Linked DNA regions of Lepisosteus oculatus. The protein of the gene in region 3 interacts with the protein of the main gene of each other region in a pairwise test. Links are inferred from orthologs where the notes say so. Each region holds a gene or a part of one and is shown on either strand. Other genes may lie near its edges. The genes, in order: zc3h15, rwdd1 and drg1.

The links.
Region 1: the proteins of drg1 (region 3) and zc3h15 interact in binary tests that used the Homo sapiens proteins (3 or more experiments, as listed by UniProt). The two-hybrid records come from large-scale screens. The link is inferred for Lepisosteus oculatus from reciprocal best matches to the Homo sapiens genes DRG1 and ZC3H15.
Region 2: the proteins of drg1 (region 3) and rwdd1 interact in binary tests that used the Homo sapiens proteins (3 or more experiments, as listed by UniProt). The two-hybrid records come from large-scale screens. The link is inferred for Lepisosteus oculatus from reciprocal best matches to the Homo sapiens genes DRG1 and RWDD1.

Annotation. Positions count from the first base shown.
Region 1 is NC_090707.1:17,986,999-17,994,827, forward strand, and holds the start of zc3h15 (zinc finger CCCH domain-containing protein 15), read right to left. Parts: upstream 3,083-7,829; 5' UTR 2,994-3,082; coding exon 2,919-2,993; intron 2,262-2,918; coding exon 2,160-2,261; intron 1,715-2,159; coding exon 1,606-1,714; intron 1-1,605. UniProt on the Homo sapiens protein: Protects DRG1 from proteolytic degradation. Stimulates DRG1 GTPase activity likely by increasing the affinity for the potassium ions.
Region 2 is NC_090697.1:32,552,254-32,560,353, forward strand, and holds the start of rwdd1 (RWD domain-containing protein 1), read left to right. Parts: upstream 1-5,099; 5' UTR 5,100-5,185; coding exon 5,186-5,258; intron 5,259-5,813; coding exon 5,814-5,879; intron 5,880-7,078; coding exon 7,079-7,209; intron 7,210-8,100. UniProt on the Homo sapiens protein: Protects DRG2 from proteolytic degradation.
Region 3 is NC_090717.1:733,617-740,922, forward strand, and holds the start of drg1 (developmentally-regulated GTP-binding protein 1), read right to left. Parts: upstream 3,092-7,306; 5' UTR 2,870-3,091; coding exon 2,831-2,869; intron 1,753-2,830; coding exon 1,629-1,752; intron 1,483-1,628; coding exon 1,307-1,482; intron 1,209-1,306; coding exon 1,139-1,208; intron 1-1,138. Other genes in the region: patz1 (POZ-, AT hook-, and zinc finger-containing protein 1), read left to right, coding at 6,068-7,275. UniProt on the Homo sapiens protein: Catalyzes the conversion of GTP to GDP through hydrolysis of the gamma-phosphate bond in GTP. Appears to have an intrinsic GTPase activity that is stimulated by ZC3H15/DFRP1 binding likely by increasing the affinity for the potassium ions.

The DNA.
Region 1 (7,829 bases), on a different chromosome or scaffold from region 3:
AATATTGTGCGGTAGTTAGAAACTGTCTATTACTGTTTAGAAGGCAAATAAACTGCATATCTTCGGAAAAGTGAATATTATCTTCATAAATAGTTCACTATATAAACAGTACAGTTTTTAAGAATTTTTCATGCCGATAATATAATAACCCTGAAAACAAACTGCCTCTTTAACAGACTTGAATCACCCTAACACAAGTCATAATCTTTGCATTGATTCTATTTTGATAGTGGCAATTATAAAAAGTACATAACGCAAATGCTGTTTTTATGGTTTTTAGACAGAAACATGATAAGGGCCATGTTTTATTTTGCTTCATCCTGTCAATCCAAATATCTGAGTGTTCTCATCCACAATGAATGAATAATTCAAGACATTTAAAAGAAAACTACACAGGATAACAATCTGCTAATGATCACCACCATTCAGATATTTATGATTTAAAAAAAAACTTAGTTGGAATTAAGAGGGCAGTTAAAAGCTAATTTAAAGGTATTCTCAAATTAAAATCCACCAGACAGTAACATAATTACAGGGTTGGCTACTTGTTAAGAAACTTGTTAATTGCAAGATGAAATTATTTTAAATTCAATTACAAGTTCCAGTCTACTCATTTTTCAAAACAGGGAGTGTTTGCTAAGCATGAGCACCTTTTAGTAGTAGTAAGCAGGCATATTTAAAATGTTTTAAAATTAATTTACACATATAAACAAGTTCAAACAAGTTGTGAAATGTAATATTTTGAAAGGGCATCCTTACATTAAACTGGATAATCTGTCAGTACTGCAAAGCTAATTAGCATTTATGTAGTGCGAATTTGCTCATCAATCACAAATGCCACAACAACTTACTGATGATCAGCTGTCCTTGAGTTTTCCCACTTTTGATTACATATTAGTGAATTGATGTATCAAATTAAAATCCTGTTTCTCCCATAGATGGCTTGTATTAAACCTCTTTACAGTGTGAGAATGTATTGGTTTGGAAAGCAATATGGCAGATCACTTGCTTATAAAGTAGTGTCATCTAAATTAATATAACTGGTCTCAATCCAGCTTTTATTTCATGATTTTTTGTTGCTCTGAGAAAATAAAGTCTATGCATTTATTATTGTTCATAAATTATTTTTTATTGTTGACAAAAGAAACAGGTCATTTATTCATAAATACAAAATTAAAGACATGAGTCCATGTATATTTTACAGTACATTAAAATGAAGGATTTAACTTAGCAAAAGGAAATACATGATCCTTAAAAATATATTCCATTTAATGTATCTTTTTACTGAACTGACAAAATATTAACAAATATGATAATGGTATTCCCAGGTAAAATACAATTTCAAATCACATACCTTGAGTTTATGGTTTATTTTACGACAGCAAAATGGAATGGACTAGTACATTTGGTAGCACCAGTTAATATTTTAGTTCTGGGAGTGAGACAACTAGTTATATCAGTCTCTGAATTTCACCTACTTTCAACACTCAGCAAAAGGGCAGTGATGTAGTCAGAACATGACAGTGATACAATCCAGTGACATGACTTCAACTTAACCGAACCATTTTTCACATATATAAAACAAAACAACAATACATAACTTACCTTTACTGATTTTCTGAGCTGCCACTACTGGCTTGAAGAGCTCATTTAATTCAGAAAGTTCCTTCTTCTTATCTGCCTTCTTGTTCTTCTCTCCTTCAGCTGCAGCCACCTGAATTAAAGAAAAAGCAACACCAAAATTGTTTTTGATGAGGCTAAAGAATACTTTCTAAGCCCTGGCTGAAGAGCAATCCTGTATGCTCAAGAAGGCTTACTTTTACATTTTGAGTTTTGACAATTACAATAACAATTGAGTGCTTACATGTATTAGGAATTTAAGTGGTGAGTTTCACTATTTTGATCATTAACATAGGGTTGTAAGCCTTAAGTATACCAGAGAGCTATTATTGCCTATTCAGTCTGTAAAATGACATTTATTTCAACAACAATGATCATTTATTCACAAACAATAACATAATAACATAAAATGGAACTACAGAAACAACAAAGCATAAAATGTGACAAAATACCTTTCTTTTAAACAACAAATGTTTCAGAAGGCAAACATCTCAAGAACTTAATCCTATACAGATACGACTTTCAGCTGATGGTTTTACCTGTCGCGCGTTCTGCTGGCCATACTTCACTTGTTGCGTGACAGCCTTGATGAATTTTTGCTGTTTGGCTCCCTTCTTATTCTTCAATCCAAAAGTCTTGTCCTGAATACAGATAAATAGAACATAAACAATGAGAATTCATTCCTACGCACCAGTTATTTTAATAACAATACCCCCCGCCCAAATACTTATCATTTATGCTTTGTGTGTGTGTAATTTGCGTCAAGTATGCTTTGCTACAAAAACACATCCCGTTGATTAATGACAGAGACGCGACTGTCGGGGGGTCCAAAATCTGAAGAAGACAGTATCAGATAGCGCTCGTTCTTTGAGCCAGAAAAGGAAACCGCAAAACTGAATTTATTACGAGATTTGGTCGGTTAAAGCCCCGCTCGGTTTTATAAGGCATAACTATGGTTTTCTCAGACTCAAGACTAAAATTCCGTAAATTCGACCACACGAATGCGATCCACAACACTACCCAACTGTCATTTTTCTTACAGTTTCACAGTTTACCTAAAACTGTGCGAATCGACTTCTACAGATTAAAATCGAAAAGCCCTATTTTAAAGAATTACAAGGGCTGTCAATTTCCCGATTTTAGCACATCACTATCTACACGAAAATGATCACCGCATCCGTAAAGCCCTAAACTACAGCCGGCCAGGCTAGGCCCGAAATGCAGCATGGTTCAAAATAGAGGAGTTGCAATTTACCGGTTGTACTTTTTTAAATAAAATAAAACACCATTTCTCTAACCTCGATAATTTTCTCCTTCTTCTTTTGGTCGGTTTTCTTATTAGCCGCTGGTTGCGCTGGTTTCTTTGGAGGCATATCGAAAATTAAGGTGCTGAAAAAAGAGCTCCTAGTCTCCGGTTAGGTGGATGAAGCGCTGGCTCAGTCGGCGTTCAGGCCCCGATGACTCTCTGGGAAATCAGAGTCTCGAAAAGCATTATGGGTTAGAGGCAGAACTCCCATAGTTCTAAATTCATTGGCAAAAAAAAAAAATCTCATGGTTGTATAAGTACTCCAAAGTTTTTGCTTCTTAAAAAAAATATTGTGTTATATGAGAATAAGAACTTTAACTTGAATATTAGTAAAGATATTCGATTTGAGTAACCTTTCTAAGACGTAAAATAATACAAAACTGAAGCTACAGTATGTTAAATAATGAAAAAAGCGATTGGTATTGGTAAGGATATGGGCAGACTAATGTGAAAATTAGCGTGGAAAAACTGAGTAGGTTTATGGAATATTTGTGATCATAGATACCAGTACTGTACTGTATGCCAGTACTCTTTTATTTTAAGAGGCTATTAAACAGCGTGTATACACTGCTACTGTCTTTTGTTTATTTAACGTTGCTTTTCAAAAATGAAAAAACGCTGTGATACTGAATCATGGATCACTCTTTTCAATCATTAATTTTAGAGACTAATTTTTTGGTTGGGTAAATCTCCAACCACAAGTTTGGTGCTTTTTTCCTAAGACATATTAATCATATTATGGCATACTATGGTATGGCAACTGCAGTACTGCAGTACACTGACCGCAAAGCCCTACAGCGGGTGGTGAAAACTACCCAGTCCATCACTGGGGTTGCCCTCACATCTATACAGGACATTTATGACAGACGGTGATTGAGGAAAGGTCTAAGCATCATCAAAGACCCCACACACACCAGCTACAGACTGTTGTGACCTCTACTATCTGGAAAACGGTACTAGAGCATTCGGGCCCGGACTACCAGACTCAGAGACAGTTTTTACCCTCGCACTATCAAACTATTAAACTCCCAGCCTCTCTCACTCTCACCTCACCTCTCACCTATGATCTGAACCTCACAGTGCCTTCTTTCTTACTAAAAACTCAAACACACATTGAAATCTACCTTTACCTTACATGTCAAAAAGCTCACTCTCCATAACTTCTATCCCTTTATTTAATTCTGTTGATGCATGTTTTTGCACATCTGATGTTGTTTTTTCACATGACCTGTTACCCTTTTGTTGTTTTGCAGATTGCCTGTTGTTGTTTTGCACACTGCCTGTTGTTGTTTTTGGACGTTGCCTGTTGTTGTTTTTGCACACTGCCTGTTGTCTCTGTCTTTCTTTTGTTATACAATTGTATTGTTTTTTTCTGTACTACTTATCGTCCGAGAGCTAGCTAAATAGCATTGCGTCATACCGTATATATTATACTGTATATGAGTAGAATGACAATAAACTTTAACTTAAACTTGATCATATGTACTGTACTTTGCAAATGTTCATACTATATATTCACTTCTGTCTCCCCTGGGGGCAGTAAATATCATAAAACAAAAGCTAATGATACTGAAACAGTTTTGCCTCAGAAGTCATGTAATGGGAAATTATAATTGATGTAATTAATAATTAATGTAATTGGGATATACAGAATAAAACAATACATTACTTAAACTTGCAGAAAAACACATATCATTTAACTTTAGATTGAAAACAATGGATGTCATTGCATGAAAGTGACTGCTTAGGTTATCACCTGCAAAGACAAAGTTTTTAATAAGACTAGCTGAAAGAAATTTTTGTCAACCACCAACACTGAAAATAAACCCTATCTGGAATTCAACATTTCACGTAAAACTTGAAAAAAACATTTGTTCCATAATTATCTGTGGTTTATCAGATCACCATACATCTTGTCATTTTATACGGCCGCAGACGTTAAGAAAGGCTGGGCTTAATCTGTTTATGGATGGGAGACTTCAACAGAAAATCAAGTTGGTCCTGCAGGTATTGTTGGTGGGAAGGTACAGTAGGTGGTGCTCTTGCCCCTGGAACAGAATTAAAAAAAATCATTTTCAGTATAGTGACTGTAAAGACTGTGGTGTGTAGGAGCACTGCTCTGTCCAGATGTATAGTTAAACTGAGATTTAAACTATGTGCTCATTAAAGATCCCATGGTATTTTTTTATAGTAGGGATATTAACCGCAGCTTCTTGGCAAAAATTCAGTCATAGCCTATTTACACTGGCCTTCCTAAACTTTCAGTTTAATTGAATTTGTGAATACATTTCTCACTTTTAGAAATTATTTGCTGTGTGGGCTGTTGGTGCTAAATGGGTACCCCATGTTAACCAGGCGGGCGATGTACTTTAGTGGTAGATGAAGTGGGTCTCTTCCAATATGTAAAAAAGCTTTGTAATAAAATATATTCTATAAATCCCCCCAAAATTAGAATTTCCGGAGGCAATCATATTGAAGCATAATAATAGTATCAAAATGTATCCAAATTTTCTATCTTTGAAGCACAATATTTCATAAATATTTTAAAAATCAACCCTCTGCAGTTTCTGTAAAGCCACCTTCATTCAAGGTTTTGTCATAGTCATGATATTTGAGACTGATATTAGTCCTTCCAGAACTAATGGCACAATCATATCTCCTTTGTAGATCACCTTGCTTTTAATTAAAGTTGCACACTACGCAATGGTAAATGCTATGGTAATGAATACAAAGTTACTGATCAAAGTAGCAAACTAGATCATTCATTACTACAAGATCGTGCCTCATTAATATTTTTTTGAATTGGAGATTTTCTTATCCTTATACATATATACAGTAGATCAATATTTTAAATATGCAAAATGTCATGGATTCCGGTTGAGATATTTAAATAGATACCTTGCATAAATGAATAGGTAAAGGTTAATACCACACTGAAAACTAGAATGAAAAACACAAAGTTTTGGATGTAGAGCCTTCTTTAGGTGTGTGAGGCTCCCTACTCAAACATCATGGATCTTAAATGCCTGTTATATTACTGTATGTACGCATTTCTTTGAATGAGTTATTATCAAATAACTCTGTATTTAACAGCAGATTTAAATTGCCAATTAATTTTAATGGATGATAAATTTTCACATATTGCATGGTTGTTTGCGAACATGAATCAGATTTGATTAGCATTTTCTACATTACTTGTTAATTATTGCTCAGTAGATAATATAAAAGCACTGATCAGGAATTAAAGCTAGCATGTCTACCATTGACAAAAGTCAATTTTTATTATGCAGAGGACAATAGTGCATCATCAAGTTTTAATTTAGAATGTTGAGAAATACATACAGTAGTAATTTGATTTATGAATACTACAACACAACTATCATTACATACAGCACATTTTTAATTTAAATTACTTACATTCATGTAGTGCACCCAATTACTATATTGTCTCAGTCTAATCATATCAGATATTCTACAGAAATACTCTGTGAATCTGTTTTCTGTTTTCGGGTAATTTTTAATATATGTAAATGTTTAACCCACTGTCCACTATGATACTTTTGTGTTCTAATTACTTTGCTTTCTCTCTTATGCTTAAGATATGAAATACATTTTTAAGACATTTTGTCTCTGTTGCCTGCTCATAAATTGTATCTTATTTAATTTAACTCCTACACCATGATGTAATCTCAAGTATCCAGCTTTTGAAAAGCACTGTGTGCTTCAGTTTGTAACAAAATACAAAAACTGCATATCTAAAGTTTGCCTCATGGTGGCATTACAATCATTCTAAAACACATTACATTCTGCATGATCTAGATTGCTTCAAAGTGGAATTTACAGTTTAAGTGTATTATATGAAATATGAAACTGTAACAGTGTGAAACAATTGCTATTTTAAAGGACACAGGAGTGGTTCAGGATGGGATTAAAAACAATTCCTTATGATTACTAGAGGGAAGAGGAAAATTTTATGAAAAGCTTCTAAATTCTAAGTTCTATACTTAGAACGTTCTCTTGTAAATGTAAAATTATAGCTAAATTGAATTATTAGGCTGTACTAAATACTATATTGCCATACAGCAGTAATACCCCTGAGAGAGGATCTTCTCAATGCACTTGTATAAATAGTAACCTGCATTTCTGGGGATAACTTTGTATAGCAGGTCATTTTTGCACAGCACATAGTTATTGCGTCAGTTGTAAGCTCTGTTTAAACTGGTGACTAGTTTTATTTCTGTTCCAATGAGGCTAGAGAAAGCCAGTATGGCGTAAGATATACCAGTCCTGCTTTGCCACTGTGTCTTGGTTGTATGATATTGTGCCCTGTCTCTGGGATAAAAACACTCATTTGCCGTTATACTGTATGTGGATCTCCTCAGTTTCACTGAAACCCACACTAATATATTTCTGGTGGAAGAGTGGGATTGGAACCCATGCTCCGGAAGAGACTGGAGGACAAGAGAAGAATCTTCTTCAGCCATCCCTACCTGTTTCTCAGGTTCCTGGAGCATAACGATATAACACATCAACTCCTGTTTACCTGAGCCAGACACCACTCGAGGACCACCAGCAACTCATCCCCACCAACTTCCCCAAAATGGACTTGTTCTGGTCATCCTATCAAGCCTCTAACCACTTTAAAAGATTTTGTTTGTGTGTACACTATCTCAACTAGTCTGTTCTGAGCTATAGTGTAATCATTACTATATTGCATTATACTACAATTAGCCCCTGCTAGTCATGTATTGTGTCTTATCTGCCAGAGAAAGGGATGTTTCTTACCCTGTAAGAGACACATATAAACAGTATAGCAGACGGGTAGTTATTTAGTAAAGTTAGTTGTAAATTCTGTTTAATTTGGTTACACTATTTTTACTTTATATGTGTAGTACATCCTTAT
Region 2 (8,100 bases), on a different chromosome or scaffold from region 3:
AGTCTAGACTGTAACCTGTGCTGGATTACTCATGTTGAGAGTGTTTGCTCCAATGTTCAGCAGCGCTTATATTTCCTGGGAAGACTAAGAGTGTTTGGGGTTCGACAGGATGTAATGCTACTCATTTACCATGCTGTAATGGAGAGCATTATCAGAAATGGTATTACAGTGTGGTTTGGTAATCTATCAGTTCATTTAAAATCACAAATTACCACCTCTTCCAGACAGCTTTGAAGGTCATGGGAGTGAAACAGCATCCCTCCCCGCAGACAATCTTTGAAAAATCCAAAATCAAACAGGCTGGAAAAATGATATAAGATCCTTCCCACATCCTCAGCTGTGAATATCAACTTCTTCCTTCTGGCAAACGTTCTAGGGTTCCCAAATGTAAGTCAAACAGATACAAACGTTCCTTTGTTCCACTATCCATTAAAGCTGTCAACGCAAATGTCAAGGATGAACACAATTTTGACTCTGAATAAAGATATAATAATAATAATAATAATAATAAACTTTATTTTATATAGCGCCTTTAAAGGTGGCTTCTCAAAGCGCTTTACAGGATGACAATAACAATAAATAAGAAGACTACAACAATAAATAAGAAAAATTTCACAAGACAGGACACAATTATAATTACAGCAATACAACAATAACAATAGAGGAGACCGTGGAAGATGGTATTAAGAAGAGCAGAGGGGTGAAGAATGGAACCAGTTAAGTAAAGGCTTTTCTGAAAAGGAGGGTTTTGAGTCTGGATTTGAAGGAGTTTAGAGAAGGTGACTCTCTAATATCCTTGGGCAAGGAGTTCCAGAGCTTGGGGGCATAGCAGGAGAAGGCCCTGTCGCCTTCTCCTGAAGTAAAGAAGGGGTTAACTGATTCCTTTCTGCACAAGGACTGGACTTCTTGTGACACAAGACATTCCAGGCAAGTTAAGGCAGGAAAGTGGAATAACTGATAAGGATTCCAGATGCCAGCTAGAAACCCCCCCCCCCAAGGAAGGAAACCTAAAACTGACCATTAAGAGTGGTCAGAGCCTGGGGGCTGTCCGAACACCGCGACCTCCCCCCGTTACCATGGTAACGAGCTACCGCCAGAAGCTGCTGAAAAGTGCTATTTAAACTGGAAGTTTTGTACCGGTATTTCGAATAATACTTCGGTTTTATTGTTCCTTGCATGCAATAAAACCAATCTCTTTAAACTTCATCTCGGAATCCAGAACTTATTTGTCTGTTACAACAACTCAAAGCGCAATATGTTTTGTGATGTGTTATAAATGTTACACGTTGTTATGCTGTCTACTTTACATGTGCAATAGAGTGATGTGCAATGTTTTTCTTATTTTTTGTAATAGCATAATGTGCAATGTTTTTCTTTTCTTCTTCTTTTTTGTGTTTGCATTCTATTTAAATGTACAGGAGTGCTGTGTGTCCATAAACAATTTCCCTCAGGGGACAATAAAATCTTATCTTATATTGATACCTGTTTTTTATCATGGGGTAAAAGTAGGGTAAAAAGACATTCCTTACTCTGGGGACCAGGCATGGAAGAGCGGTCCTGTCAGGGGAAACGTAGTTCACAGATTAAGATGTCAATGTGAGCTCTGTTTCACCTCTCCCTATGGATCCAGTAAACCATCCCAATGTCCACAAACACACTCTGTGGCTGCAGATGGAATTTTCCATCTGGGTCCAAACAAATACTTTTTTGTATAATGTAAATATGGTAACTTTGTGATGCTTATGATGTGCATGCTATTTATGTCCCTCTAAGAACTGTCCAGATTGCAACAGGAATTGTCACACGATCCAAGGATAGCTGGTTGCACAGGTCCGAAAACTACTCCAGTAGATGGAAAAGCAGATGAAGAGAGGGAGGAAGAAGATAAATATATATTTGAATATACTACAGAGACTACTGTATGTTTTGGGAGAGTTTAATTGGTCATACTTTCTATTACTGCAGCTGTAGACAGATCATATAACACCTTGGTCAAAGGTCCGAAGTGTGAATTATGGAATCCCATGAAGAGTACAAGAGTACGGTATATACCCAAGTGCTCAAGGAGTATTAGAAGTTACTCTCTCCTTCACCTCTGCTGAATATAAACAAGTCCCGGTGTGAGGAATGAGCATGTGATAGGTTTGCCAAGTCTATAGCTGAGATGCATGATTGGTATTATTAATATACTGTATACTTAGGACAGCCTTCACCTAATAACTGCACAGCCATTGCATTGTTAAGACTAACCAATGTATCTACTGTATGCATGCCCCCCCTCATCCCTATCTTTTTTCACTCTACCTTAACAACCCTTTTGCCCTTCCCTCAGATATCTATTCCTCTTCTTTCTGATTTCACTCTACAGGCAATCATAAAAATAATAATAATAAACTTATATAGCACTTTTCTGGACACTCCACTCAAAATGCTTTACAGGTAATGGGGACTCCCCTTCACTATCACGCTCCACCACCTGGATGAAGCAACAGCGGCCAGAGTACGCTCACCCCACACCAGCACCGACAGAGTAATGAAGCCAGTTCATAGATGGGGACTATTAGGAGGCCATGATTGGTAAAGGCCAATGGGAAATTTGTCCAGGACACCCCTACTCTTTCCGAGAAACGCCCTGGGATTTTTAATGACCACAGAGAGTCAGGACCTTGGTTTTACATCTCATCCGAAGGACAGCGCTTTTTTACAGTATAGTGTCCCCTACTGGTCCCACTAACACCTCTTCCAGCATCAGTCTTCGCTTTTCCCAGGAGGTCTCCCATCCAGGTACTGGCAAAGCTCACACCTACTTAGCTTCAGTGTGTTACCAGTTGTGAGTTGTAGGGTGATATAGCTGCTGTCTTCTATGTGAGCAGCACTGGTTATAAGGCCCCAAGAGTTGACCAGACTGTCATCAGCACAACCACCTGCTCCCTGGAAATCTCTGATGAGCCCTGATGACCTGCAGTATTGTGGTATCAACACCTCCTCAACATTCCACACATAGAAGGAGCTCATCAGGGCCAACTCAATTAAGCACAGGCCAGGCTTATCCATTAATTAGGAACCGCATTCACTATTTATGCTCAGATATTGAGTCACAATAGCATGTGGAGTTGCTGGTTTTGCCCCAGGACTCTTCCCATTCTAATTTCTCCTATTATTCCATTTCTTGTTCAATAAACCATTAAAACTTTGCCACTGAACTGACTCTGGTAATTACCAATTTGCTGCACCCTATTTTCCATCTATGGGTGTGGCATAACAAGTTTGCCTACTAGAACTGCTCTTTTATCCCAAACACCATTTTCCCTCTGGTCTTCACTAAGAAGACTGTGCAAGTCTCTGCCATCTAGTGGTGCTAAATCTCCTCTCATTCTATTTTCTACTACTGTAACCTTCCGTTGGCTCCAATGTGTGCATGCAAAAGTTAAATTGAATATTATTGTGATTGATATGGCCTCGGCGAAACAATCACTTTTCTGTGCGATATATTGCTTTTGCAAACCCAGGTATATATTGTTGTTTCTTTCTGATAATATTAATAAACAACAAAGTATTCTCCAATAATGGAGCTTTTAAGCTAGTTGTGTGATGCAGTATCCTAACAGAAGACTTTAGTGTTCATATTTTAGCATACAAAATGGAATTGTTTTGGTAATTTTCGGGTTGGGGGTGGCATGGTGTTCATGATGGATTTAGAAAAGGTAGGTCTTACCAATTTATTATTTGGACAAACAACAATTGCAATGGATACACACATGAAATGCAATATGGTGTATTTAGATTTTCTGATTTTTTTTTATAAAGTTCCTAAAAAAAGCCTTATTTACAATTTGCATTTTACAGACATTCAGGGAAATTAGTGTTTGGATTGAGGATTGGTTATTAAATAGAAAACAGAGGGTAAAAATATGGGATGAATATTCAAACTGAGGAAATAGTGAATTACTGTACTATGGGGGTATGTACTTGGACCACTGCCCTTCTTAATTAATATTAATTTAAATCTTCTAGACGATGTAGAAAAGCAGTAAATTAGGCAAACAAAATAATAAATACTTCATAAACATAATATATACTTCATTGACACCTGAAGAAGGCTCCACGGCCGAAACGTTGTGTTCTCTTTCTTCTTTTTTTCAGCATGGAATAAACCTATTACTTGTTCCTTTGCAGCCTACGCATGCTGACGCAGCTACCCACCTGAACTACTACCGTATACTTCATAAATGTAGAGTTCAAAATCAAAGAATGTTATGTTTAAAATGTCTAATGCACCAATTAGGCCACACTTAGAAGAGTGTATACTATTTTAATCGCCATGTTATAGGAAATATATTGCTGCTCAGGAATCTGTCCACAGAAGACAAACCAAATATCTGCAGCCTTAAGGGTATATTCAACACTGACAGGCTGAAGAAACGGACCCTTTAGTCTTGAACAGTAAAGATTACAAGGGGGCCTGACATGGGCATGGGCATGAGCATGATTGTTCAGGTGGGTAGCTATGATGATATAATGATGAAGACCAGCAGACACACCGACCCCCCGGCACCCAGACTGGACATAAATGCACTATTTTCTCTCGAGCCCTGATACAGCCCTGCGAACACCAATATTTTGATGCTTTCTAGCGTACAGCAGAAAGATCATTTTAAATATTTGACAAAGTGATCAGGACAACAAATACAAAAAACCTACATTAATTTTCGGTTAGTACTCCAGTATATCTCGTATTGAAAACAGGAAGAAGTATTCCCGCAATTCTTAACGTATCGTTAATGTATACAAACTAATTAACATATAAATCGCACCACACAGAATACTATACTTTAACGTGCTACAGCTCACCACCTACAAACTCTTCATTCCAAACTATACACCCATGCCATGTGACTAGTGTGCGACCTTCCACGTAAGGCCCAGACTAATCAATTAAAGATACAACTAAATACGATAAAAATGGTATTTTAAATGAAAAATAAAATACAAAGAAAATATTCCGAGTGTTTCATTGTATACAGAAATAATTATTCATCCTATATTGTTTTTAAACGCGTTTTATCAACAGCGATGAAGACCTGACTCGTGATTGCCGAGAAGTCGATCTCTTTCAGGCCTCATTTGCGGGTTGTTCATTTGTATTTTTTGTAATATAGTAATCAATGGGAAATTGTGAGAAAAAATGACAGATTACGGAGAGGAGCAGCGGAACGAGTTGGAGGCATTGGAGTCCATATACCCGGATTCGTTTACAGGTATGTACTGTAATATTTTTAAACTAAGCATAGAGTTTGTAGAAATTTCAGAGAAAACGTGTAGTGTTTGCAGCTGCAGCAAGTTCTGTCAGGAATCTGTACTTGGGTTTCCTATTTTTTCTTATTTTCTAAGCTTTCGAAAAACGATATCTGCTACAAAATTAGATATGTCGTAATATATTAGGTGTTATTGTTCCAGTGCTGTTTGGTTTTTAATGAAGCGTTATGTTTGCAAGGCTAGCTGGGCAGTCGCATAAAGCAGCTTCAGTTTATGCAGCAAAATCAGTTATGCAGTGCGTGAATATACAATGCAATAGTTAAATGTAGACGCAAAACATTCGAGCATTTCCGATAATAACTCAGGCTTATACATTTCCACATTCTCTGTACAAACGTACGGGTTATCTTTTATATGTTAATAAAAGCTATCAAATCCATACATGCATAAGCCTTATTTGATACATATTCATATCTCGTATAATATACGTTGTTGTTGTTATTTAGTAATTTAATAGTATTGTAATGGTTAATTTGTATTGTTCTTTTTATGGCCAGTGCTTTCAGAAAACCCTTCAAGTTTTACTATTACTGTGACTTCTGACGCAGGCGAAAATGATGAAAGTAAGTACTGAATTTTTGTTGAAGCTCAAGTAGTTAGCTGAGTCAGCATGCGTAGACTGCAAAGGAACACTTAAAGGTTTATTCTGTGCTGAAAAGGGAGGAAAAAAACACAACGTTTCGGCTGTGAAGCCTTCTTCGGGTGTCACTTCGGGTCACCATTACTTGTTCCTGAATATTTGTTGTGTGTGTATCGATTGTATCATGCATATTCACAAAAACCAAAATATTTTATTATAAAATATTAAATATGCACATAAACACAAATCGATGTTTAAGTACAGTATATATGCATACTGTATATAAAGAAAGTTACAAACGAGAGGAGGACATTCAGCCCATCTAGTTCATTTGGTTGCTGAATTAAATTAACTTGCAGATCTCCAGAACCAGATCTAATTTAATATATTAGTCGTTTCCTTTTTATTTCCTATTCTCTTTGAAACACTTAGACTATCACAGCTCTTTTCCTTTCTGATATTTTATTTTTACCTGTACTTGCAGTACATTCAATTTTTTAACTAACATTTTTTTTGATTGTCTTAGATTTTCTTAAACCATTTGTGTCACTGCTTTCTTGGTTATATTTACTTACTCATGGGAGGAATCTATTTGGTGATTCAGGTAGATTATATTTACAGTGCTGCTGTTTTAATCAAATGCTGTTAGAAGCCTGATGGAAATCTTTATGGCACTGGATGTTCTGCCATCAGTCACTGACCAGTTATTTATGAAGTTTTCATAGATCTTGGTAGCTCAAAGCTAACAGAACTGGTTATACCGACTTTGCGGAGAAGCAAGAGAAAAAACTGTCAAAGGTAAACATGGCAGAACATGCAGGTGTCTATAACATCCACAGAATGTTATCTGTTCAGCCAGGGAGTTACTTCACACAGTGTCAGTCATTCAATTAGAAATAAAAACACTGCCCTCTGACCTTTAGAAGTGGGGTCATCATGGTTGTGTTTGTGGTGCACAGCTGTTTTCAGAAGGTATTATTTATTTATGAAAGGATAATGAATGTTTGCAAATATGGATATTTCACTTGTGATAAAGTGACTTTGTATAAATAACTAACTGTATCAGAATATATCATTATAACAGAAACTAACATTGCAAATTTAAACTAAAATTTGATTGTTATGCAAAATCCATGATCTTTTTTGATGTATGCTTACTGAAAATTCTTTCTTTTTTTCTAGCTGTTCAGACTACTTTGAAGTTTACGTATGTAGAGACGTATCCCGATGAACCTCCACTTTATGAAATTTTTTCACAGGATAACCTTGAAGACAGTGACATCACAGACATACTAACACTATTACAGCAACAGGTGAAGAGATGTCTCCCATTGTATTCCTGTGCATTTTCACTTGGCAACTGAAACACCCTTTTGTGCTTCACATCTGCCTGTAAGAACAGGTTGATGGTCTGTAAAGTGATTGCTGCAGTTCCTGACATATACATTATCTTACATGTTGCAAACTATCACACCAGTGTCCATTCTTGGGCCTGCATACGTTTTATTGTTTCATATTATTAGTAAAAAAAAACCAACAAAGTGGTGATTGATTTAAGGTATCTTTAGGTATCAAAACTGCTGCTATTACCCCAGTGCCAAAGAAGCCTAACATGGCTCTCGACAATCTTAACAACTTTTGCCCCATCTCCAACTTACCCTTTCTCTCTAAAATTCTAGAACGTGCTGTCACACTTCAGTTACATAACCACCTCATGACAAACAACCTTTTCGAACCCCTCCAATCTGGCTTCCGTCAACTTCACAGCACAGAAACCGCCCTAGTCAAAGTCACCAACGATCTCCTAATAGCTTCTGATTCTGGTTCTCTTTCCATACTCATCCTTCTTGATCTCAGTGCTGCCTTTGACACTGTTGACCATAACATCTTGCTTTCTCGTCTCGAGACTGTTTGGAGTCTCTGAAACTGCCCTCAAATGGTTTAAGTCTTACCTCACTGATCGCTGTCACTTTGTCTCTCTCAATGGGTACAGGTCTGAAATTGGTCTTGTCAAGTCTGGTGTCCCTCAGGGCTCAATACTGGGCCCCTTGCTCTTCAGCATTTACATGTTCCCACTTGGTCAGCTTTTAAGATCACATGGCCTCAGCTTTCATTTTTACGCTGACGATACTCAAATATACATCCATACCAAAACCGACACTGATGTGGCTGTCTCTATTCTATCTAATTGCATCTCTGACATA
Region 3 (7,306 bases):
TGCTCTCGGCAACACTCAGCTAACCAACTCAACAACTCTGCTCAAGCCTGACCAGACTCCCAAGTCTGTTCGTCTGTACGCTTGATCCTATTTCCTTCTGAAACGGTTCTCATCTCTCAAGAGTTATTCAACAAAGACCAAAACGCCGACTGAGCTGAAGTGTTTTATCGTTCTCTTGGTCCTAACTGTGTGTGGAGCTACAGAGGTCCTTCAGCTCCTCGGCAGTAACCCCAAATGCAGCCCTCTGAGTCTTTGTCAGCCACAAGCTGCTTTGAGCTCCACATTCTGACGCTGTGGACTGAAATGATAGAGCACACTCAAAGAGCAGCCATTGTTTTTCCGGGCCAGCCAGCTGTGGCACCACACTGATTGTGTCCTGAGACTGGATCGCACTCAGGCGAGTCATTGTGTCCGCTTGTCCACTGAGACACAACACCTCCAACATCACAGAAGTAATAATATAATAATTATAATTCCTTACACTTATGTAGCACCTTTCTGGACACTCCATTCAAAGCTCTTTACAGGTATTGAGAAATCCCACTACCACCACCAGTGTGCAGGCCCAACTGGGTGATGCGCCAGTACACTCCCCACACACCAGCTCTCAGTGGGGACGAGAGCAGACTGATGAAGCCAGTTCAGAGATGGGGGTTATTAGGAGGACATGACTGTAAAGGCCAGGGGGAAATTTGGCCAGGACACCAGGGTTACACCCCTACTCTTTTCAAGAACCACCCTGGGATTTTTAATGACCACAGAGAGTCAGGACCTCGCTTTTAAGTCTCATCCAAAGGTTGGCACCTTTCTTACAGTACAGTGTCCCCGTCACCATACTGGGGCATCAGGACCCACACAGACCGCAGGGTGAGCGCCCCCTGCTGACCCCACTAACACCTCTTCCAGCAGCAGCCTCAGCTTTCCCAGGAGTCTCCCCTCCAGGTACTGACCAGGCTCACCCTGCTGGGCTTCAGTGGGGCTGCCAGCTGGGAGCTGCAAGGTGATATGGCTGATGATGCACTCCGTGCATGAAGTGACAGTAAGGCGTCGTTTTCACTCCAGCAGCGCCGCTGAGGACCCGGGTCACAGGTCCTGACCGCGGACCTCAGCTGGTCCTGCTGCGGGCGTCTCCTCTCACCTGCGATCACCTGCCGGCCTCTGCCCTTGCCATCCTTGGCGCCCTCGATGATGCCCGGCAGGTCCAGCAGCTGCAGCACAGAGGCACACGGAGGTCACAATCGGGGCGCCCCCGTCCCCCGTCCCCCGTCCCGCCCCTCCCTCCCGGCGGCCGGCGCCCGCGCCCCACCTGGATCTTGGCGCCCTTGTAGCGGACGACCCCCGGCACCGTGGTGAGGGTGGTGAACTCGTAGGCGGCCACCTCAGAGTACACGCCCGCCAGGTTGCTGAGCAGCGTGGACTTGCCCACCGAGGGGAAGCCCACGAAGCCGATCCGCGCGTCGCCCGTCTTCGCCACGTCGAACCCTGCCAACGACACCGGGAGCGGGTGAGCCGGGGCGGCGGCGGGACCGGGCGCACCACCAGCACCACGCCTGGCGCAGGTCCGGGCGGCCAGCTCCTCCCTGTGACCCAGCGTGGAATCAACCAGGACTGACCCCCAGCGCCCTCACCTTCTCCCGTCCCCCCGCCGCTGCCACCCTTGGGCGTGATGAGCTCGCGCCGCAGCTTGGCCAGGCGCGCCTTGAGGAGGCCCAGGTGGTGAGCCGTCGCCTTGTTCTTCTGAGTCCGAGCCATCTGGAGAGGGGAGAGAGGAGAGGAGGAGAGGGGAGAGGAGGGGAGAGAGGAGGGGAGAGGAGAGAGGGGGAGAGGGGAGAGGAGGGGAGAGAGGGGGAGAGGGGAGAGGAGGGGAGAGAGGGGGAGAGAGGAGAGAGGGGGAGAGAGGAGGAGAGGGGAGGAGAGGAGAGAGGGGGAGAGGAGGGGAGAGAGGGGGAGAGGGGAGAGGAGGGGAGAGAGGAGGAGAGGGGAGGAGAGGAGAGAGGAGGGGAGAGGAGGAGAGGGGAGGAGAGGAGAGAGGGGGAGAGGGGAGAGGAGGGGAGAGAGGAGGAGAGGGGAGGAGAGGAGAGAGGAGGGGAGAGAGGAGAGGGGGAGAGGAGGAGAGGAGAGAGGAGGGGAGAGGAGGAGAGGGGAGAGGAGAGAGAGGAGGAGAGAGGGAGAGAGGGAGAAAGGAGAGGGGGAAAGGGGAGAGGAGGGGGAAAGGGGAGAGGAGGAGAGAGGAGAGGGAAGAGGGGAGAACACACATTCTCAGTCCCGTTTCAACACCGATCACAGGGTCCTGCTGGGCTGCCTGCTCCACACTCCATGCTGCAGGCTGCTCTGGAATAAGCAGCTGGATGAGATTCTCAGACCCAAAAGGTAATAATAATAAACTATTCTATACAGCGCCTTTAAAGGTGACTTCTCAAAGCGTTTTACAGAACGACACCAGCAACAATACAAGTCGCAGTGAGAGGAGACAGTAGCGCTGAGCACCCTCCGGCCCGGCGCCCTGTGTGGTCGCCCTGCCCTGCCTGCGTGTGTCACTCGGGCTCCGGTTCCGCCGTCCAGACCCGAGCTCTCCAGCCGCGAGGCCGCCGGGGGTCCAGGCCCCCCGATGCAGACGCACGGGTCCGAGAACAGAGTTCGGACGCCGCGAGAACCCCTCTGTCCCGCTCGCTCGGCGGTTCCGGTTCCGAACCGGGCTTGGACCAGGACCCGTGTTCGAAAGCCGTTACGCCCCGGCCCGCCGGGACAGACCCCACCCGGAGGACATCAGGAATCATTCAAATCAGACGGCCGCCAGCACTGCTCCGAGCCCTGCAGCGTCCACACGCACCTCGGCCTCGATCTCGGCGATCTTCGCCAGCAAACTCATGGCGGCTGTGGGTCCGACACCAACTTCTTCCTCCCCGCCGGTGCGCCGCTGCCGCAGTTCTCGCGTATAACGAAGGGTGAAGACTCGGTAGCCGCTCGGTCCTCTGTCAAGCCCCCCACGCTCCTCTCTCCTCTCTCTCACACACACAGACGCCCGGCTCCGGCACGGCGAGCGCCTCTCGCGAGAAACCACGGCCACGCAGCGAGCAGCAGCGGCGCTGGGGGAACAGGGCGCCCCTGGCGGTGCGGAGGAGGTACTGCAGCACCCCCCCCAGCTCCGTGGGGGAAATGTCTGCGGACTCTAAGAGCGACAGTGCCTCACAGTGCACAACTCCAGCCCCCTACGTGTGCTCTCACGTAGGGGCTAACTGGTCTGAGAATGTCACCCAGCTCACAGGCTTGTGAAGGCCCTGTTACTGAGACCTACAAAGGTTAGGCTTTTACTTCATGCTGAATTGACTTCATAACTAGTTCCCTGCTGAAAGTCACCAGTTACGGACCTTCGGAGGTGCAAGAACTGATCATGTATGTGTGTGTATGAGTGAGTGTGATTGTGTGTGCATTTATGTGCATGAGTGTAATTGTGTGTGTATCTGTGTGTATGTCTGCATGCACGTGTGTGCATGTGATTGTGTGTGCCTGCGTGCGTACAGTATGTGTGTGTGCATGTGTGTGATTGTGTGTGTGTCTGTGTGCATGTGTCAGACTGTGTGCGTGTGTGTTCATGCACGTATGTGCATGTGTGTGTGTCTGTGTGCATGTATGTGCGTGTGTGTGCTCGTGTGTGTGTCTGTGTGCCTGTATGTGCGTGTGTGTGCTTGTGTGTATCTGTGTGCATGTGTGTCCACATGTCCACAACATCTCCCTACCGGCCAAACCCCAAGTCCTCACTGCTCCTGCAGCTGTGTGCGATCCGACTCGGATCCGATGGGGAAGCCAAGCCGGCTTGCGGAGCACGCCGGGATCTTCCCACTGGCCGGTGGCTCAGACTTTGGGAAGACGAATCCCTCCCGGGGAGCCAGCAGAGGGAGGGGGGGATTCTGGGGTGCTCTGCGGACCCCATCAGCACCTCTGCAGCCTGCGGAGCGTGTCCCTGGAGTGGCGGTCCCAGCTCGGCGCCGAAACGAGGGAGGAGGGGAATAATTGGGAGATTAACAGCTGATTCCACGTGCAAGGCGAGCAGAAGGCAATAGGAGCGTTTCAGCAGTGGTGCCAGAGCAGTCTCCTGCCAGCTGCTGCCCCACACATCTGCTGTGTGTTGAACTCTCCCATCAGACTGACTCGCTCGCCACTTTCCGTCTCTCCTTGAACTTCTCGCTCGGATGGACTGTCTATTATAATAATAATAATATCACTTTACTAACCCTTTATAATTTCTTGCATTAGGAATTTGTCTTTTCACAGACCCCAGCTCGCTCTCCATGAGACAGACAGGCAGGGAGAGAAGCTGGGGGTCAGAGTGCAGGTTCAGCCGTTTATACGGCGCCCCTGGAGCAGCTGGGGTGAAGGGCCTTGCTCAGGGGCCCAACGGAGTAGGATTCCTCTGCTGGCTGCGGGATTTGAACCGGCAACCTCCCAGCCACAGGCGCAGATCCTGAGCCACAGAGCCACTGCTCCGCCCCAATATATTCTCTTTTCTGTTCACTGACCTTTCACACGTGTGATGTTTGGAAGGTGCCGTGGGAATGTTTGGATTTACCTGTAATTTAGAGACACTTTCTGCTCTTATTCCGCTGCTGTGTTGTTTCCTCTGGTCCGCAACGTTAGTGAATGTTTTCTTGCCCCCAGGGGTATATAAGGCACCCGTCCCAAGAGGTAGACAAGCACACCAGTGCAGGTAAATTCCTGGGGTCTGGGGGCTCTCTTTTGCCCCAGAGAGCAGGGGGCTCATGTACACCCCCAGGGGGCAGGGGGATCGCTTTTGCCCCAGGGGGCGAGGGGCTCAAGTACACCCCCAGGGGGCAGGGGGCTCTTGTACACCCTAGAGGGGTAGGGGGCTGTTGTTTACCCCAGGGGCAGGGGGTGCTCGTACACCCCCTGGGGCAGGGGGCTGTTGTGGCGTCTGCAGGGCTCACACACACACACACACAAGTGCGAAAGAGTTAATGAGCACAGAGGCTTCCCTGCCCTGCTGTAACTCGAGAACCCCGGCTGACAGCTAAACGGTAAAAAGCTAGAATGTACACTTACGAGTTACCCCCCCCACACTCACACACCCACCCACCCACACCCCACAATGCACCGCTCCTCCCCCCCCCAGCGCCCACACCTGCGGATCCCGCGTCCGCCTGCGTCGGTGCTGCCCCGTGGGCGGCTGTGGGACCTGCTACCCCCCAACTCCCCCTGACACGGGGGGAAAGCGGGAGGGGGGTCGGATTTATGATATCTGGATGAGTGGAGTCCGAAACGCGCGCAGCCCCGCGGTCGGGCTGGAGCGGGGTCTTTAAAAACAACAGCCCCTCTGGTCCCTAAAATCCAGTTTCTATTCTCTGCATCGGCGGTGCATTTGGCTGAGAGCGTTAACCGTAGAAACGGCTTTTATTCGCCAACTATTTCACACCCCCGTCTCTATTATCATCATTATTACTGTTATTATTGTTATTACTAGCGGGTCACTCGGAGGAGCCGAATCCCTGCGAGCTCGCAATCCCGGCGGCGCTCCGAGCTGTGTGTCGCGCTGCCTCTGTGGGAGGGGGCATCCGCGCTGGAAAAACAGGCCTGGGAATCGCGCGGGGGAGGGGGGAGGAGACGGAGGCCGGGATGGAGGGGAGAGACGAGCCCGGAGCCGGCGGCCGTGTCCAGGCGCTGGCTACCGGAGAGTCCGACCCGCGCCGCCTCGCCCCCCTCTCTCAACCCCCCCGGCTGGTGCGCGGAAAACACAGCGCTTTCCGAGTGCCCCTACCCCCCTCCCGGCTGGTCCGCCCCCCCCGAAACAAAGGTCAAAGTTCACAGGAAGCTGGGGGGCTGCCATTTTTTCCTCCCTGCAAACATTTTTTTTTTAGATGCAAAAGAGACGCGAGCAGGGCTAAGGTGTCGGAGGGTGCGTGTGCCGTGTGTTTTTAAAAAGAGAAATTCGCCGGATTTCTCCGCGAGTTGGGTCGGTTTGTTTTCCTCCTCTCTTTCTTTTAAATTTCCCACTTCTGCTCCTGCGTTTCCCCCCTCGAAGCGCCGAGATACGTCGCTCTTGAATGAAGGCAACATGGACAGGATAGCGGAGCAGCCGTGGAGCTCGTCGTACACGTATCAGGTGAGCAAGCACAGCGCCGAGATGCTCCACAACCTCAACGTGCAGCGCCGCACCGGAGGCCGCTTCTGCGACGTTCTGCTGCGGGTCGGCGAGGAGAGCTTCCCCGCGCACAAAGCGGTGCTGGCGGCGTGCAGCGAGTACTTCGAGTCGGTGTTCAGCTGTCAGGCGGAAGGGGACGGGGAGACGAAGGAGTTGGAGATGCACACGATCAGCCCCAAAGTTTTCAAAGACATCCTGGACTTCGCCTACACGTCCAAGATCGTGGTGCGGCTGGAGTGCTTCCCCGAGCTCATGACGGCCGCCAAGTTCCTGCTCATGCGCTCGGTGATCGAGATCTGCCAGGAGGTCATCAAGCAGTCCAACGTGCAGATCCTGGTGCCGCCGGCCCGCGGCGACCTGGCGCTCTTCCGGACCGGCGGGCCCGAGCTGGGCTACCCCCTGGACATGTCCAACGGCGCGGGGCTGGTGGCCAACGGCTCGGTGTTCGGGGGCGGCGGGCCGGCGCACGAGGTGGACGGGGGCGGCCGAGCGGGCGGCCAGCAGGTCATGCCCTCCCTGCAGACGGTGGACCGGCTGCCCGTGGGCGGCCCCGAGCTGGCCGGGAACCCCTTCCAGGGCGGGGGCGGCGCCCAGCCCGGGGTGGGGGGCAAGCGGGGCCGGGGGCGCCCCAAGAAGGTGCCGGCGATGGACCCCCTGCTCTTCGGCGGCGCCGGCGTGCCCAAGGACCTGGGCATCTTCCCCTGCGGGCTGTGCGGGAAGATCTTCACGGACGCCGCGCGGCTCCGGCAGCACGAGGCGCAGCACGGGGGCGCCCCGGCGGGGGGGGCGGCGGGAGGGGGCGCCCCCGGCCTGGCGGCCCCGCCCCCGGCCGGCCTGCTGGAGAACGGGCTGGGGCTGCACGGCGCCGGCCCGGCGGACTCGGCCCGCAAGCGGGAGCGGACCCGGCGCCACGTGGGCTGCGACGTCTGCGGGAAGGTGTTCCGGGACGTGTACCACCTGAACCGGCACAAGCTGTCCCACTCCGGGGAGAAGCCCTACGCCTGCCCCGTGTGCGGCCTGCGCTTCAAGCGCAAGGACCGCATGTCCTACCACGTGCGCTCGCACGACGGCTCCGTCGGCAAGCCCTACGTCTGCCAGAGCTGCGGCAAGGGCTTCTCCAGGTGAGTCCGGGGGGGGCCGCCCCGCAGGGGG